Nothobranchius furzeri: one gene and its partner. The protein of the gene in region 1 interacts with the protein of each later gene in a biochemical or structural test. Links are inferred from orthologs where the notes say so. Each region holds a gene or a part of one and is shown in the gene's direction. Other genes may lie near its edges. The genes, in order: uba6 and ube2t.

Evidence for each region.
Region 2: the proteins of uba6 (region 1) and ube2t form a complex in vitro, tested with the Homo sapiens proteins (2 studies listed by BioGRID, with this or other methods). The link is inferred for Nothobranchius furzeri from reciprocal best matches to the Homo sapiens genes UBA6 and UBE2T.

The regions. Positions count from the first base shown.
Region 1 is NC_091747.1:78,729,813-78,734,067, forward strand, and holds the start of uba6 (ubiquitin-like modifier-activating enzyme 6), read left to right. Parts: upstream 1-1,344; 5' UTR 1,345-1,359; coding exon 1,360-1,485; intron 1,486-1,676; exon of another isoform or gene 1,677-1,748; intron 1,749-1,925; coding exon 1,926-2,014; intron 2,015-2,131; coding exon 2,132-2,226; intron 2,227-2,318; coding exon 2,319-2,347; intron 2,348-2,563; coding exon 2,564-2,658; intron 2,659-3,542; coding exon 3,543-3,654; intron 3,655-4,255. UniProt on the Homo sapiens protein: Activates ubiquitin by first adenylating its C-terminal glycine residue with ATP, and thereafter linking this residue to the side chain of a cysteine residue in E1, yielding a ubiquitin-E1 thioester and free AMP.
Region 2 is NC_091755.1:24,718,644-24,723,202, forward strand, and holds the start of ube2t (ubiquitin-conjugating enzyme E2 T), read left to right. Parts: upstream 1-1,610; 5' UTR 1,611-1,738; intron 1,739-1,904; 5' UTR 1,905-1,905; coding exon 1,906-2,014; intron 2,015-2,343; coding exon 2,344-2,413; intron 2,414-2,504; coding exon 2,505-2,610; intron 2,611-2,841; coding exon 2,842-2,940; intron 2,941-3,186; coding exon 3,187-3,270; intron 3,271-4,559. Other genes in the region: zgc:194242 (uncharacterized methyltransferase YdaC), read left to right, coding at 1-89. UniProt on the Homo sapiens protein: Accepts ubiquitin from the E1 complex and catalyzes its covalent attachment to other proteins. Catalyzes monoubiquitination. Involved in mitomycin-C (MMC)-induced DNA repair.

The DNA.
Region 1 (4,255 bases):
AGAGCCCTTTGTATTTCAGATTAAAGTGAATGTAAATAATCCACGATAAATTAATCTTCAAGCTGTTTGATTAAAAAGCACAAATGTGGTTTTCTTTATTCTACGTCAGCCCCAAAACTAGAGTCAAACACAGGTAAATGTTTTACTCACAAGTTGACCTTTGCTCCTTTAAAAAGTAGAAAACCGAAAAATGTTCTGGTTGTTTTCTTTCAGTTTAAACTGGTTGAGAAATTCCTCTCCAGCTTTCCAAGTTGTATTTCATTTCCCAGACATCTCCCTAACACTAACTGTAACAAAAACGTAATTCACACCGTATGACTAAAACAACTGGTAAGCTGTTTTAAAAAAGTGAGGTCCTCACTTTGAAAAATGTCCTCACATTGTAGGGAAAGAAGTGAAAAAGGTCCTCAGTAGGTAGTACATACAAGTACACAAACACAAGCACACACACGCACGCACACACACACACACACACACACACACACACACACACACACACACACACACACACACACACACACACACACACACACACACACACACACACACACTTTGTCTTTCAGGAGCTTCGATTAATTTTACCAAATTGTTTTTTGATTGTATTTGGTTCTCATTTTATTAATTTGAGTAGTTTTATACATTCTTTGTGAAATCCAAATACATAAATGGCTTTCCTGTTTAAAACAAAATGTGGACCTTGAAATAAATAAATGTCTATGAATGTCTGATTGTGTTTATTAGATGCAGTAGGGTATTTATTGGCCTAACTTATAGTTTTATATTTGACATGTTTGATTAGAAACTAAAAACGTCTTCTGGTAACACTTTATAAATAAATATGTTTGTTTTATATTATCTATTAATAATAAATGTATTAGAACTAAATTCCTAAGTCCTGTGGCCGCATGGACGTAATTTGGGGGGGGGACAGGGGGGACATGTCCCCCCCACTTTTTCCAAAGTCAAGTTTTGACCCCTGCTTTTTTTACCATCCAAAAACAATATTACGCTATATTAAATTGACACTGGTTGAGCTCTAGGACCAAGCGGAAAACAATTGTTTGTGTTGAAGCCTGTTTCCCATTAGAGCATACTGTAAAGATTCACACACACACACCCCACCCCACTCCGTGTCCCCCCCACTTCTAAAGTGAAAATTACGTCCATGGCCGCCAAAGGACTATGATCTGAAACGTTTGTAGTGCTGAGCTTTTGAATCGCGCGCGCGTGTGTGTGTGCGTGTGCGTGTGTGTTGTTTGAAACTCACAAAAGTGTAATCTGAAATATTGATAACTCAATAGCCTCCGTTATTTGGTAAACATCTGACAAAATATGAAAAAATTTCTTTCGACTTTCATCATGAAAAAATGCCCTATTGGAGGATTTTGGTCACGTGATTGTGATAACCCGGAAGTACTCCAAGTTTTTAACCAGTCACAGCCATTCATTTGCTGTATTTCGTCGTGCTCACTGTCAGATATTCGCGTAAGATATTCCGCCTTATTTTAACAACATTTAAACATTTTCTTATTCATATTTCCAATAAGCTCAATTGTCTTGAACAAATGATTAATATTTTGGTGATGTATGGTCTAACGCGGGTGCCATTGAGTGTATGTAGAAGTCCTCGCCACCGGTGTTGTACCGAAAAAAAGCATCCCTGCCGGCAGGAGTGACACTCGCTGCTAGTTAGCTAAAGCAGCTAGCTTTGAGCTTTTATCAGCAAGCTTTCTAAATAGTAGTACTTTGTAAGTCACGTTGTTATAGTTAAACTTTGAGTGTTAGAAGCGGTTGTTGTCAAGCTCTGTTTCCCTCTTGGGTGACAGTTACACTTAGCCACCTTGCTAAGTTACAGCAGGGCGTTGGTTTACGGTATAAACTCTAACAGCGTTTTATAATCTGCGGTTATAATTGGTGTTTAATAGGTGAAGTCGCTATCTGTGAAACGGCTGAACCCCATTTCCCCTCCCACCATGGCTTCTGATTTGATGGAGATTGACGACTCTCTCTACAGGCAAGTTAGCCAGCGATTCACCTAAATAACTCGAAACTTAAGACATGATCACCAACCACCTCTCTCCCTGATCTAACTCATCTTCTCACGCTCTTTCTTCTTCATCTCTCCCTCCAGTCGCCAGCGATATGTGCTCGGAGACCGTGCTATGCACCAGATGGCCCAGTCCTCAGTCTTTCTCAGTGGAATGGGAGCAATGGGAGTGGAAATAGGTGAGCAAGACTGCAGCTTTTAGCCCAGCAGCACTCTGGCATTGGTCTTTATAAACAAGTTTGATGTTTACACTCTTTTTTTTTTTGTTTAGCAAAGAATATTGCCTTGGCAGGTGTAAAGGTAGGCACAATCTTTAGGTTGTGTGATTTTCAAACATCGCCAATTCAATTTGATTTGTTTGTGTGCTTACTGCATGTGTGTGTGTGTGTGTGTGTGTGTGTGTGTGTGTGTGTGTGTGTGTGTGTGTGTGTGTGTGTGTGTGTGTGTGTGTGTGTGTGTGTGTGTGTGTGTGTGTGTGTGTGTGTGTGTGTGTGTGTGTGTGTGTGTGTTGTACAGTCAGTAACGCTTCATGACACAAAGCTGTGTGAGACCTGGGATCTTGGCTCCAACTTCTTTATTCGCAGAGATGATGTATCGAGCCAGAGGAGGAGGTACAGTGTGCTACACGATTGGACTGCACAGATTCTTTGTACATTTATCAGAACACAGAAACTATACATAATCTGCACAGTCCTCGTGTGCATACACCAACCAGAATGACACTTGTATGAGTCAAAGTTTGTTTGGAGGAGTGTGTTGCCAGCAGCTAACTTCAATCAAATGTCATTTTTAGCCCAACGCTTCACTAGCCTTTTCTAAAGCCAGTCCTAACTAGAGCATGAGCAGTCATGGTTTTTCTATGTTTTATATTTCATCTGAAAAAATACAACATTACCACTTAAAGATATATTATAACAAAGCTTAGGAGAAGTCAGACACTTAAAACATAAATACAAACATACACATAAGAGCAGTCCTAATTAAAAGAGACGTACCAAGGAGCTGCCCGGTAATCAGAATCAGCATCGTCTGCTTTATCTATGATTAGATGATTTCTGGGTGGTGCATGTTGCTAAGGATGATACAGTTTGCTCATTTTTTGTCTTAAAACATTTTATGAAAGATGATACAGCTGCTAGTGTTTGTGGGATGATCAATTGTTAGCTAGCTGTTATGCAAATGAGACATGAGGGTTTGAATGTCCAGAAAACGTGCTTCAGTGTGATTCCTATAGCTAGCCTTGGTGCTATTCTTAGACTAAATCAGACCCATTAGCGCGTGGTGCCTAAATGAAAAGCTTGTTTTGCCTTAATGTCTGTTTAATTCTGTATTTCAATCAGCCTGTTTATCTAGAAACAGATCATTAGTCATGTGATCAATAACAACATAGCCAACGAATCTACTCATGTTATAAAGCAAGACTTCAGTGTCAGGCCGCCCCTCCTCGTAGGCTCTTCTCGTGTTTGTTGACCTGGTTCTTCCCCTGCTCTCAAAGGGTGGAGGCGGTATGCCCTCGAGTAGCTGAGTTGAATCCTTACGTCCAAGTCGACGCATCTTCCGTACCCCTGGATGACAACACGGATCTCAGTTTTCTCAGGAAGTATCAAGTAAGTTGGTGCTCTTCAGGTGATAATTTAAATAGTAGTATATTCCCACTGGCTTGCATGCAGAAACTCAAAAAATTAGAATATGGAGTAAAAGTCCATTTATTGAAGACTTGATTTATTTAGACTGAGAGACCGTCTAAAGCCTGGTTTATGCTTCTCCGTCAGCTCCGCAAGGGACAGACACGCACGGACTGATGGAAGCGTTTTGCTCTCATAATTCTCCGTCTCCTGGAGAGTGTTGCAAAGCAATTCCCCAGCAGGACACCAGAGGGCGTAGCGCTGTTCTGTGGTATCCTGTCATGTACCGGTCCAAGATAGAGTGTCTATATTGTGTTTTTTGTGTATATAAGAGACTTTTAACACGGACATATTTGTCTCTCATTCTCCCACCGCTTCATGCGCTCCCCACCTCTAAACCCACGTTTCCTGTCATTTCCGTCCACAAATAAAACGCTTGCTGCGCATCTTTTCACTCCTCCAGTCACGGGAGAATTAAACGTTCTTGTTTTTAGAGTTTTTTTCGCGAGGTATTCTTCAAGCTTCTCCGTGTCTGCCGCTAGTTATCCTCGGCTCTCTTTGCAATGGCGGCGCTGTAAACAAC
Region 2 (4,559 bases), on another chromosome or scaffold:
GAGACTCTGGCTTCACTGATGTCAAAATGGAAGACAAATATCATCACAACATCCCTTTTCAGGCGATGTTTGCCACTGCTTCAAAATGAGATGTACCGTCAAGCTGTATGTGTGATTCTATCAGTTTGTTTTTTTAAATAATAATAATAATCACAGTGAAGATAAAGCTCTAAATTATTTTCAGATTCTCAGTTGTGTCACAACATTTAGTTCTGTGCTCTCATTGTGCAGATGAATTCTATTTTAAAGACACACAGATGAATTGTTACATTGAAATGTTTTAGTCGCAATTAGACATTTTTCTGTTAAAGTTCTGAAAAAGTTGGGAATATGTGTCAAGTTAATATTCACATTTCTAGGCAATAATTAGAATAGTTATTTTCTCTAAAACACACTAAAAATGATTAAAACTATACATTCATAGACTAATAATGTTGTTTAAAGAAGTAAGAATCTTTTTAATGTAGTTGATAAAATGTGGGAAACTCCTTTACTTTGTTATTATTATTTTTTTAAGTAATTTAGAACAGACGACACTAAATCATTCATGTTCTGTACCACTCATGTTCACTCGATCCAGCAAATTTATAAGAGGTGAGACCCAAGACAGATACCAATCTAAGAGGCTGAACTCTCAAGTGAGTTTTCTCTTCACACACAAAACCCGAGAGTCGTTTAGTTGTCGCCACTGGAGAACGACAATTCATCTGAGTTTGAAGTCCTGTATATCAAGCTGGGTTTAGCTCTTTTACTCCACAGAATTATCATATTTCAAACTAAATAAATACAGTTTAATTGTTTTCTTATTCAGCTAAATAGTATATAAAGACTGTTAGGTCGAGTTTTCTTGTCGCAAACACGCTAAAACGTTTTATTTTGAAAAAACTCAGGAAGTGTTTCTACCAAACCTAAAAAAAGAATTAGTATATCTTCTCCTCATTTGTTCTCCTAAATTTTATTATTCATAAGAAAACAAAAGAAAAAGAAAGATTATGACTTTTTAAATCAGCTTTATTGAAATATAAAACCTAAATGATCTCTTCTAAATGGTTTAACAGAACTATGGTGTAGTTTCGCCCTAACTCCACTAGATGGCGGTAGTTCCCCTCGCCGTTCACGGATTTGTAAATCTCTCTTCTTCTGCCGAATGTTATTACTCCCAAGAGAACAAAAAATAGGATTTTTCAGCTTTATTGAGATAAGAAAAAAACATGCAAAATCCACACAGAAAGGCCAGAGAAAACATTTGATTCAAATATCCATTTGATGCAGAAGAATAGTCAAAAATAGTATATTACAGAAAGACTGGAAGAGAATTAGAGAAAAATTTCTAAAAAAATTAATGTTGGAAGAGGTAAGATGCACAGTTAGAAACATGCGTGAATATTTTGATACTCAAACAGGATACACTGTTTTGTTTAAACTTCAGCAAACAACCAGAAATATTTCAACAGAAGAAGAATAAATATTTTTATTTTCTTGCGGAATATTTGAAGCAATATTAAATAAAAAAATAGACAATCTTGAGAAAAATAAAGAAAAAGAAAAACACTTGTAATATTCTATTAGTATCAGTTGGTGGAGGTAATGCACCAATCTGTGATTTCAAGCTACACGAAGAAGAAGCAGCGCGAGGCGGCGGCGCGTCGAGAGGGAAATCCAAAAACAACTCCGCCAACAAGTAAATCTTGTGAGAAGTTTAACCGCTCAGAGCAGAGGAGGACATCAGCTGGGAAACGTGAGTGAATAAGAGAAAACATCGATGCTTGTTTGTAACAATGAGCCTGCTAACCCTAACCCGAGCTAGTTTAACCAAATTCTTACCAGAAAGCACGATTATCTCAGCGTTTATCTTCACATACCCTCCTTATTTTATGTATTTATTTATGTTCCGCCTCTAAAAGAATGCAAAGGGCTTCCCGTTTGAAGCGTGAACTTCAGATGTTGAGCACCGATCCTCCTCCCGGGATCACATGCTGGCAGACCGAGGAACGGATCGACGACCTCCGGGCACGTAAGTCCCACCAAGTCCCTGAATCTGAAACCACTATCATACAATCTTAGTAGAACAGAACCCATGCAGTAGCTCCATTTTTACTATCAGAGGCTTCTATGTCTTTATAAACAACAGCCATCAACGTTTTGGGGATAAATCTAGACTTTTGTCCATAATTAACAAACATGATCTGACTGCAGTGTGTGTTTTTGGTGTTCTTCAATACTTCGAAATGAGTAAAGTGTCTAAAACTTTAATATCCATCCTTAGTAATAATGGTTATTAACTTTTCTTATTATTTACTTGGATGTTGCTGTTCAAAAACTGTTTTTTTCTCTTCCTTGCAGAGATAGTAGGAGGAACAGGTACTCCTTATGAAGGTGGAGTCTTCTCCCTTGAGGTCAAGATACCAGAGAGGTTTATATTTTATTTGCATTGATGAAACTTCTGCAGTTTTTTTTTACTAGACACAGTAACTTGCCAAGTGTTTACCATTCTTTTCACACAGATATCCATTTGAGCCTCCAAAAATGCGATTCTTGACCCCAATCTACCACCCAAACATCGACACCTCGGGGCGTATCTGTCATGATGCTCTCAAACTACCACCAAAGGTTGTGAGAATAAAATAAACTTTTGATGTGCTTTATTCTAATTTTTTTCTTGCTTTGTACCACCTGATTGTTTGTGTATATGAGCGCACACACACACACACACACACACACCACACACACACACACACACACACACACACACACACCACACACACACACCACACACACACACACACGCACACACACTCACTCGTGTGTGTATGATCACTTTGTTTTCTGTGTTTTTTTCAGGGTGCCTGGAAGCCGTCTCTGAACATCTCCACTGTTCTTACCTCGATTCAGTTGCTCATGGCTGAGCCCAATCCAGATGACCCACTGATGGCAGATATCGTAGGTCATCTTCTTTTAGAAACGTGATCTCATGCTTCCTATTGGTTAGTTTTTATAAACATATTGGTTCCTGTGAGTTAACATCAATGAGGAGTTTAATGAGAACCTGTTTTTAAGATATTTAATTTGAAAGTTTCTGTGAAATCTGGTTTATTTTAACATTGAAACTGTATCTGTGAGCATGTCCAATCAAATGGATAGTTACAGTGCATGTTTCTGACTTTCAATTTTCTGTTTCAAATTCAGTCTTCAGAGTTCAAATACAACAAACACGTGTTTGTGGAGAAGGCCAGGAGGTGGACACAGGAACATGCAGTTCAGAAGAACACTGTAAGCTCTTATTCTCTCATTCACACCGTGGTTCTGCCAAACAGCCACTCCATTACATCTCATCTTCTAGCCCGTTTGGTTCTGTGAAGACCTCTGGGGCAAACTCAGAGGTGGATCAACTTCAACCATCTATTCTGTCACCGTTGTTTCACACCTGACACAGATGCAGGAAGGCGTAGGGCTACTGGAAAATATTTAGTGATTTTCCTGATTTATTAAAATGGTTGATTTCATTGTTCACTCAATCTGTACAATTTTGGTTAGATTTTTTTTATCCTTAATGGTGTAATCATGTGCGTTGGCTTACTTGAACCACTAAGGGGTGCTAATTTCAAAAGAAAACCTCATCTTTTAACATTGAAAAGCACAAGTTGTACATGTAAAGGGAAGGTTTTGAGCCACCATAGTTCATGTGTGCTTTGCTTCACTCATTTTTGTGCAGACACACTAAGTTGGTCAAAGTGTAATGGAGTTTACTAAAAGTGCAGAAACTGGTTCCCAAAAAGGGTCTTCCTATGACCGAAATGAAAAATTAGTCAAACTCCAAAGCAGATGTTGATCGATCTTATTTTTTCTATTGCTGATGTCGATAGATAAAGGTCATGGTCAGCCGACGGCCGGTGTCGGTACAGGATCTGCTCGGGTGCAAGATCGGCTCGGGGTCCTTCGACTGCCGATGACGTCAAAGTACGGCAAACCCACTCGGACAAAATACACTACACATCTATACTGTTGGAAAGAATTTAGCAGTTTTGTTATTAAAATAATGTTTCTTAAGACATAAGTTTGTGTTTATAATGGTATTTGTAAAATAAAACACTATATTTTATTCATAATGTTGAACTCCTCTTTGAGCACATCCCTTGAAGAATCATAGGTATTAGCAACACCTGTGAAATTGTATTTGCAGGAAAGAAGTGTGTCCCGTTTATTGAAGTATTTTGTTTTTAGAGTTTTTGACGTCTTGTCCATGAGTAGTTCAGTTACACTCATAGCTGCTAGCCAAAACTCTGGAGTTAAAAGTTTTCTGGCTTTACTAAAATACCTGTCTGTACTTATTTGATTGATGATATTTTTACTTTCTATTAGACTCCAAATGTAATCATTTGGCACGTTTCTAATTCATAATTTGTAATAACGTAATCGGCGATATTAGCATTAGCATTCCTATGGGTTTTTCCATGTATATCAGCATTGCGCTAACCACTCGCTGCCAAATTGCAGCCTTTGAGATTAGAAAATCTCCTTTTGTCACATCGCAATTTAATTGCACATGCAGTTAATCTTTC